2 linked regions of the Macaca fascicularis genome follow. The protein of the gene in region 1 binds, or shares a complex with, the protein of each later gene. Links are inferred from orthologs where the notes say so. Each region holds a gene or a part of one and is shown on either strand. Other genes may lie near its edges. The genes, in order: GTF2E2 and POLR2G.

Region 1 (3,814 bases):
ATATCTTTTTGTACAAGAAGTAAAGTATAATAAGGTATACTGAAGGAGTCTTGTTCTCACCTGTCTTGCCACTCATTTTCTCCCCTCTTGTGCTTCCTACAGGTAACCTCTTTTATTTGTTTCTTGTGACTTTTTCAGTGGTTCTTTATGCAGAAACAAAGTTCAAATGTATACTTATTTCTGCCCTTCCCTGTATACAAGGTTTCATAGTGTGTATATTTTTTAACATACATATTTTTTTCTTATTTAAAAATACTTTATTTTTTAGAGGAGTTTTAGGTTCACAGCAAAATTGAGTGGAAAATACAGAATTCTCATCCATTCCCCTCCCATCCCCCTGCCCCCCATGGCTTCCTCCACTATCAGCATCCTGCACCAGAAGAGTACATTTGTGACAGTTGATGAACCTATGCTGGCAAATGACCACTCTAAGTTCATAGTTTACATGAGTTCATTCACTCTTAGTGGTGTTCTTTCTGTGGGTTTGGACAAATGTGTAATGGCCTATGTCCACCACTATAGTTCTCAGGGCTCTGCTTGTTCATCCTTCTCTCCCCTGCAACCCTTGGCAGCCACTAAACTTTTTTTAATTTTTAAATTTTTATTTATTTATTTATTTATTTTTGAGACAGAGTCTTGCTCTGTTGCCAGGCTGGAATGCAGTGGCTTGATCTTGGCTCACTGCAACCTCCGCCTCCCGGGTTTAAGTGGTTCCCCTGCGTCAGTCTCCTGAGTAGCTGAGACTACAGGCACGTGCCACCATGTCCAGCTAATTTTTTGTATTTTAGTAGAGATGAGGTTTCACCATGTTGGCCAGGATGGTCTCAATCTCCTGACCTTGTGATCCTCCCATGTCGGCCTCCCAAAGTGCTGGACTACAGGTGTGAGCCACTGCATCTGGCCTGCAGCCACTGAACTTTTTATTGTCTCCGTGGTTTTTGTCTTTTCCAGAATGTCAGTAGTTGGAGCCATACAGTATGTAGCCTTTTCAGATTGGCTTCTTTCCCTTAGTAATACGTATTTAAGGTTTCTCCATATTTTTTTCATAGCTTGATAGCTCATTTCGTTTTAGCTCTGGATAGTATTCCATTGTCTGGATATACCACAGTTTATTTACCCACTCAGCTACTGAAGGACATCTTGGTTGCTTCCAGCTTTTGGCAATTATGGATAAAGCTGTAATAAGCATCCTTAGTGGATTTTTGTATGTACATAATTTTTTGGCTCATTTGGGTAAATACCAAGGATCATGATTGCTAGATTCATCAAATGGTAAGAGTGTATTTAGTGTTGTAAGAAACTGCTGAACTGTCTTCCACAGTGGCTGTGCCATTTTGCACACTCTTCCTGTTCCTTTGCATCTGCTCTAGCTTTTGGTATCTACGTGTGTGTGTGTGTGTGTGTGTGTGTGTGTGTGTGTGTTCATTGGATAGGCATGATACATATGTGTTTTAACTTATTACTTTGTCCTGGACATCTTTTCAAATTAGCACATAGAGAAATTTTACATTTACTTTGTGAACATCAGTATAGTGGAATGGATGTGCTGTGGTTAATCTATCTTCTGATTATGGACACTTGGGTTATTTCTAATATTTTCTTTTTATAAACAATGCTACAGTGACCATAAGTCACTTTTCTTTTCTTTTTTTTTCTTTTTTTTTTAAATTTGAGTTGGAGTCTTGCTCTGTCACCCGGGCTGGAGTGCAGTGGCGTGATCTCAGCTCACTGCAAGCTCCACCTCCCGAGTTCATGCCATTCTCCTGCCTCAGCTTCCCGAGTAGCTGGGACTACAGGCACCCACCACCATGCCTGGCTAATTTTTTATATTTTTAGTAGAGATGGGGTTTCACTGTGTTAGCCAGGACGGTCTTGATCTCATGACATCGTGATCCGCCTGCCTTGGCCTCTCAAAGTGCTGGGATTACAGGTGTGAGCCACTGCGCCCGGCCCGTAAGTCATTTTTCTATGTGGTACTGGTATTTCTGTAGGATAAGTTTCTAGAAATAGGATTGTTTGGTGAAAGTTGAGTATCTTTTCCTATGTTTAAGGTCATTTTTGTAATCTGCACGTTTCTGTCTTTGGGTCATTTTCTGTTTTTTTTTTTTTTTTTTTTTTGAGATCTTGCTCTGTCTCCCAGATCTCAGCTTTCTGCAGCCTCCTTCTCCCAGGTTCAAGCGATTCTCCTGTCTCAGCCTCCCAAGTAGCTGGGATTACAAGCATGCACCACCATGCACGGCTGATTTTTTTATTTTTAGTAGACATGGGGTTTCACCATGTTGGTCAGGCTGGTCTCGAACGCCTGACGTGAAGTGATCCCACCTGCCTCAGCCCCACAAAGTGCTGGGATTACAGCCGTGAGCCACCATGCCTGGCCTATTTGTTAGGTTTTTGAAGCTCTTGAAATATTAGGAAGAATTAGCTCTTGGTGATATGAGTTGCATATATTTTTTGTCAGTTTATCTTTTTATTTTATAGAGCAATGAGTTTCAACTCCGTTCTGATTTCATAGTCTGTGGCTCTTCGTCACTATAATTATACTACCTGGAATAATACATGTTTTTCATTCCTGAAGATTTATGTACACGTAACTATGATTTAATGCATCTAGCATTTTAAAACTGTCTTCTAATAACAGTTTCTTCACTTGATAGACACGGCATCAGCGAGGAGATACGCATCCTCTAACCTTAGATGAAATTTTGGATGAAACACAACATTTAGATATTGGACTCAAGCAGAAACAATGGCTAATGACTGAGGTGAGAATTTAGTTGATTATCAAGAGAGATTTCCTGTAACTAGAATTTTTTTTTTTTTTTTAGGCAGTCTTGCCTAAAAAAAGAGTCTTGCTCGGGCTGGAGTGCAGTGGCGTGATCTCAGCTCACTACTGACTTGGCCTACCGAGTAGTTGGGATTGCAGGCATGCGCCACAATGCCAGGCTAATTTTTGTGTTTTTAGTAGCGATGGGGTTTCACCATGTTGGCCAGGCTGATGTTGAACTCCTGACCTCAAGTGATCGGCCCACCTTGACTTCCCAGAGTGCTGGGGTTATAGGCGTGAGCCACCGCACCTTGCCTAGAATGTTTTAATATGGTGAAATCTGATAATGCTTTTTACTTTTTCTTAAAAGAAATGTTGTAGGGTCTTTGTTTTTTGAATGTACACATTTGTAAGATTGATTTGTTGGTTTTCACTTAATTTTATGTATCTATTTCAAAATGTTAAAGGTAAGACTTCTGTGTAAAGGTTGTAAAGAAGTCATTGTACCAGTTCCACTTATGTTTTTACAGATTAATTAATGCTTATTTTGTATTGCCAGATTTATAATTTGTATGCTTGTAAATTGAATTGTTTTTGTTTTAGAAAATTTAAAGCATAAGATACTGCAGGGATAGGAAGATATTTTGTTGCATAATTACTGCTCTTATGGCTTGATGTGGAAAAAAGTCGTGAATGCTGTGTATGAACACACACCATTTGAAGAAACCCCAGCACAGTCAGTGACCATGCTAATTTGGAAATAAATAGCATTTAAAAATTCAGATGTTCACTGCTTTTGAATTTAAATGCGAAGTGAAAACTAAGAAGACTACTTTCTAGGACCAGAGAGAGATTCTAGAATCCAAATGTAAAATTCCTAACATATAATTCATTTATTTTTTTACCACGCAAAATATAGGTCTTGACTTTTATAATGTAGCATGACCATTAATTAGCATAATTGTAGCTCATTGTATTAGTGATGTACAAACAATGGTAATCCACATTTAAATTTGCTGGTTTAGCTAACCTTGAGAGTTCATAGACTAC
Region 2 (3,914 bases), on another chromosome or scaffold:
CTGCACTCCAGCCTGGGTGACACAGCGAGACTCCCTCTCAAAAAAAAGAAAGTGAATTAATCTATAATCTGAGAACAGAAGTTGTAAACTATATGTGACTCACAGTCATATCTCTCTCGAGGCTTAAAATATTTTTTGGGATTGCAATAGCTTTTAAATTTTTTCTTTCTCTCTCTCTCTTTCTTTCGTTCTTTCTTAGTGTTGCTCTGTTGCCAGGCTGGAGTGCAGTGGCGCGATCTCAGCTCACCGCAGCCTCCGCCCCCCGGGTTCAAGCGATTTTCCTGCCTCAGCCTCCTGAGTAGCTGGGACTACAGGCACATGCCACCACGCCCGGCTAATTTTTTGTATTTTTAGTAGAGTCGAGGTTTCGCCGTGTTAGCAAGGATGGTCTCAATCTCCTGACCCCATGATCTGCCCGCCTCCGCCTTCCAAAGTGCTGGGATTACAGGCGTAAACCACTGCGCTCAGCCTAAATTTCATTATTTTCTGTAGTTTCCTGGCCTTTCGACTAAGGCTCATGTAAATTTTTTGTTATTTCTACACCAATTTCTGTAGATTATTATGAGAATTAAGGGAGATAATTATATAAAGGGCTTAACACAGTGTCTGGCATTTAGGAAGAAAGCAGTAAGTGGTAGCTATTATTTATTATTATTTTTTGTGATGGAGTTTCGCTTTTGTTGCCCAGGCTGGAGTGCAGTGGCCTCCCAGGTTCAAGCAATTCAGAGAGTTGCTGGCCGGGCACAGTGGCTCACGCCTGTAATTCCAGCACTTTTGGAGGCCGAGGTGGGTGGATCACCTAAGGTTGGGAGTTTGAGACTAGCCTGACCAACATGGAGAAACCCCATCTCTACTAAAAACACAAAATTGGCCGGGCGCTGTGACTCACGCCTGTAATTCCAGCACTTTGGGAGGCTGAGGAGGGCGGATCACAAGGTCAGGATATCAAGACCAGCCTGGCTAACCCGGTGAAACCCCGTCACTACTAAAAATACAAAAAATTAGCCGGGCGCGGTGGTGGGCGCCTGTAGTCCCAACTACTGGGGAGGCTGAGGCAGGAGAATGGCCCGAACCCGGGAGGCGGAGCTTGCAGTGAGCCGAGATCGCGCCACTGCACTCCAGCCTGGGAGACGGAGCCAGATCCGTCTCAAAACAAAAAAAAGAGAGTTGTGGTTTGATGGCCGGTGGGGGGGCGGGGCGGTGGTGAGGGGCGGGGCTTAGTGGTTCACGCCCACGGCTACAAGGCCCAATCAGACCCGTGGAGCAGGTGGAGTTCCGCCCTCGCTGAGGAGGTGGAGTTCCGCTCTCAACGACGCAGCAGGCGCGGAACTGGGGTTGCGGCGGCTAAGTGTGTTTCCGGTAGATTCCCAGGGGCGGTCGGAGGTGTGGACTGTTCCTGCCTTCATGCTCTGGGAAGATGTTCTACCATGTGAGCAGGGCCCAGGGTGGCGGCAAGGGCTGGGTGGAAAGGAGGAGCAAGGCCAGGCGCCGGCGCGAGGCTCCCCTTGTCGTCTGATAAGCTCCCAGCGCGTGGCCTGGTCGCCATCCCTCTTTTCTCCGCAGATCTCCCTAGAGCACGAAATCCTGCTGCACCCGCGCTACTTCGGCCCCAACTTGCTCAACACGGTGAAGCAGAAGCTCTTCACCGAAGTGGAGGGGACCTGCACAGGGAAGTGAGTGCCGAGCTCACCGTGCCGCCAGATCGTTCGATGCGCACACGGGTCGCTATACCTGCAAACCCTCCGCAACTCCTATTTAGTCCTGCCACCCACTCTAGGGACCCCGCTCACCCTCTCAGGCAGCCAGTTGCTTCCTGCTTTGGGTTCCCAGGGCGCCCTCTGCAATGCTGGACAATAAGACTTCCTTCCCTCAGCTGAGATTGGTCATTCATTCATTTACTCCTCAGACATTTTAAAAACACTTGGTGTGTGCCAGGACCCGTGTTGGGCTCAGAACAAGGTAGAATGGGAACAAGATAGAATGAGGCCAGCTCTTGTGGAGCTCACAGTGTAGTCATTGTTCCTGTGTCTCCTCTCACTCTGTCATTCTGCTGGTTTTCTCTTATCCCCTGTGTCCAGGGACCACACACCGTGGGCCTCTATATATCTTCTGAATGGATGACCAGAAAAAGTGGATCGAAAGTTTGGGGGAGGAAGGAAGTAGACTGGGACTTGACCATCTCTGGGCTTTGCACTGAGGGCCTTCTGTGATATTAATGAGCTGGGACCCAGCCCAGGGCAGTGGAGTACTTGGGCCTCCAGCATCAGAAAAACCTGCAGGAACATGCAGATTCCTGAGCCTCCTTATTCCCTACAGAATCAAGACTCTGTGAGGCAGACCTGAGAATCTGCATTTTAAGAAGATGATTCTCAGGCATCCCGAAGATTGAGATCTGTTTCCTCAAGGACTCCAGCCTTCTTGTACATTTACTGTGAAATTACCAGAACAGCATTTGGTCTTATACATACTGATCTGTGTTCTTTTTTTTTTTTTTTTTTTTTTGAGACGGAGTCTCGCTCTGTGGCCCAGGCTGGAGTGCAGTGGCCTGATCTCAGCTCACCGCAAGCTCCGCCTCCCGGGTTCAGGCCATTCTCCTGCCTCAGCTTCCCGAGTAGCTGGGACTACAGGCGCCTGCCACCTCGCCTGGCTAGTTTTTTGTATTTTTTAGTAGAGACGGGGTTTCACCGGGTTAGCCAGGATGGTCTCGATCTCCTGACGTCGTGATCCGCCCGTCTCGGCCTCCCAAAGTGCTGGGATTACAGGCTTGAGCCACCGCGCCCAGCCCATACTGATCTGTGTTCTGTCTTCTCTTGGTCATTAAGCTCTCTGGGAGCAGAGGTGCTATCTACTTGTCCTTTTGCTCTCCCCGACACTACTCCCAAGAGCTCAGTGACTTTTATTGCAGATGTCTCTAGAGGCTCTTGGACACACAATGTCTTTCTGTTTCTCATCCTCCTTGCAGGTATGGCTTTGTAATTGCTGTCACCACCATTGACAATATTGGTGCTGGTGTGATCCAGCCAGGCCGAGGCTTTGTCCTTTATCCAGTTAAGTACAAGGCCATTGTTTTCCGGCCCTTTAAAGGGGAGGTCGTGGATGCTGTTGTAACTCAGGTCAACAAGGTGAGACCATACGTAGGGGAGGCATTGGGGTAGTCTCTCAGTAGATCTGGGTTGGGTCCTGGCTCCACTTCATAACTGTGCCTTCAGCTAAGTCACTTTACTTCTTTTTTTTTTTTTGAGACGGAGTGTTGCTCTGTCGCCCAGGCTGGAGTGCAGTGGTGCCATCTTGGCTCACTGAAACCTCTGCCTTCTGGGTTCCAGTGAGTCTCTTGCCTCGGCCTCCCAAGTAGTTGGGACTAAAGGCAGGTGCCACCATTGCCGGCTAAGTTTTTGTATTTTTTTAGTAGAGATAGGGTTTTGCCATGTTGCCCAGGCTGATCTCGAACTCCTGAGCTCAATCTGCCTTCCTCGGCCTCCCAAAGCGCTAGGATTACAGGTGTGAGCTACCACGCCTAGCCATCACTTTACTTCTTGTGCTGCACTTTCAAATTGTATGGTAATCTTCCCTGCCCAACTCAGAGGGCAAGAGTCAACATTAATAGTCATAACAATAAAAGCCTGTGTTGATTGAGTAGTGACTGTGGGCCAGGTGAAGTGCAGAGACTCACAATGACTAAAAGGTGGGTGCTTTCCTTTTTTTTTTTTTTTTAAGATGGAGTTTAGCTCTGTCGCCAGACTGGAGTGCAGTGGCACAATCTTGGCTCACTACAACCTCCGCCTCTGGGTTCAAGTGATTCTCCTGCCTCAGCCTCCCAGGTAGCTGGGACTATAGGCATGCGCCACCACGCTCAGCTAATTTTTGTATTTTTAGTAGAGATGAGGTTTCTCCATGTTGGTCAGGCTGGTCTCAAA

Evidence for each region.
Region 2: GTF2E2 (region 1) and POLR2G share a complex: the UniProt entries of both Homo sapiens proteins name them as parts of the TBP-based Pol II pre-initiation complex. The link is inferred for Macaca fascicularis from reciprocal best matches to the Homo sapiens genes GTF2E2 and POLR2G.

What each region holds. Positions count from the first base shown.
Region 1 is NC_088382.1:33,818,747-33,822,560, reverse strand, and holds part of GTF2E2 (transcription initiation factor IIE subunit beta), read left to right. Parts: intron 1-2,654; coding exon 2,655-2,762; intron 2,763-3,814. UniProt on the Homo sapiens protein: Recruits TFIIH to the initiation complex and stimulates the RNA polymerase II C-terminal domain kinase and DNA-dependent ATPase activities of TFIIH. Both TFIIH and TFIIE are required for promoter clearance by RNA polymerase.
Region 2 is NC_088388.1:11,292,040-11,295,953, reverse strand, and holds the start of POLR2G (DNA-directed RNA polymerase II subunit RPB7), read left to right. Parts: upstream 1-1,319; 5' UTR 1,320-1,404; coding exon 1,405-1,673; intron 1,674-2,962; coding exon 2,963-3,122; intron 3,123-3,914. UniProt on the Homo sapiens protein: Core component of RNA polymerase II (Pol II), a DNA-dependent RNA polymerase which synthesizes mRNA precursors and many functional non-coding RNAs using the four ribonucleoside triphosphates as substrates.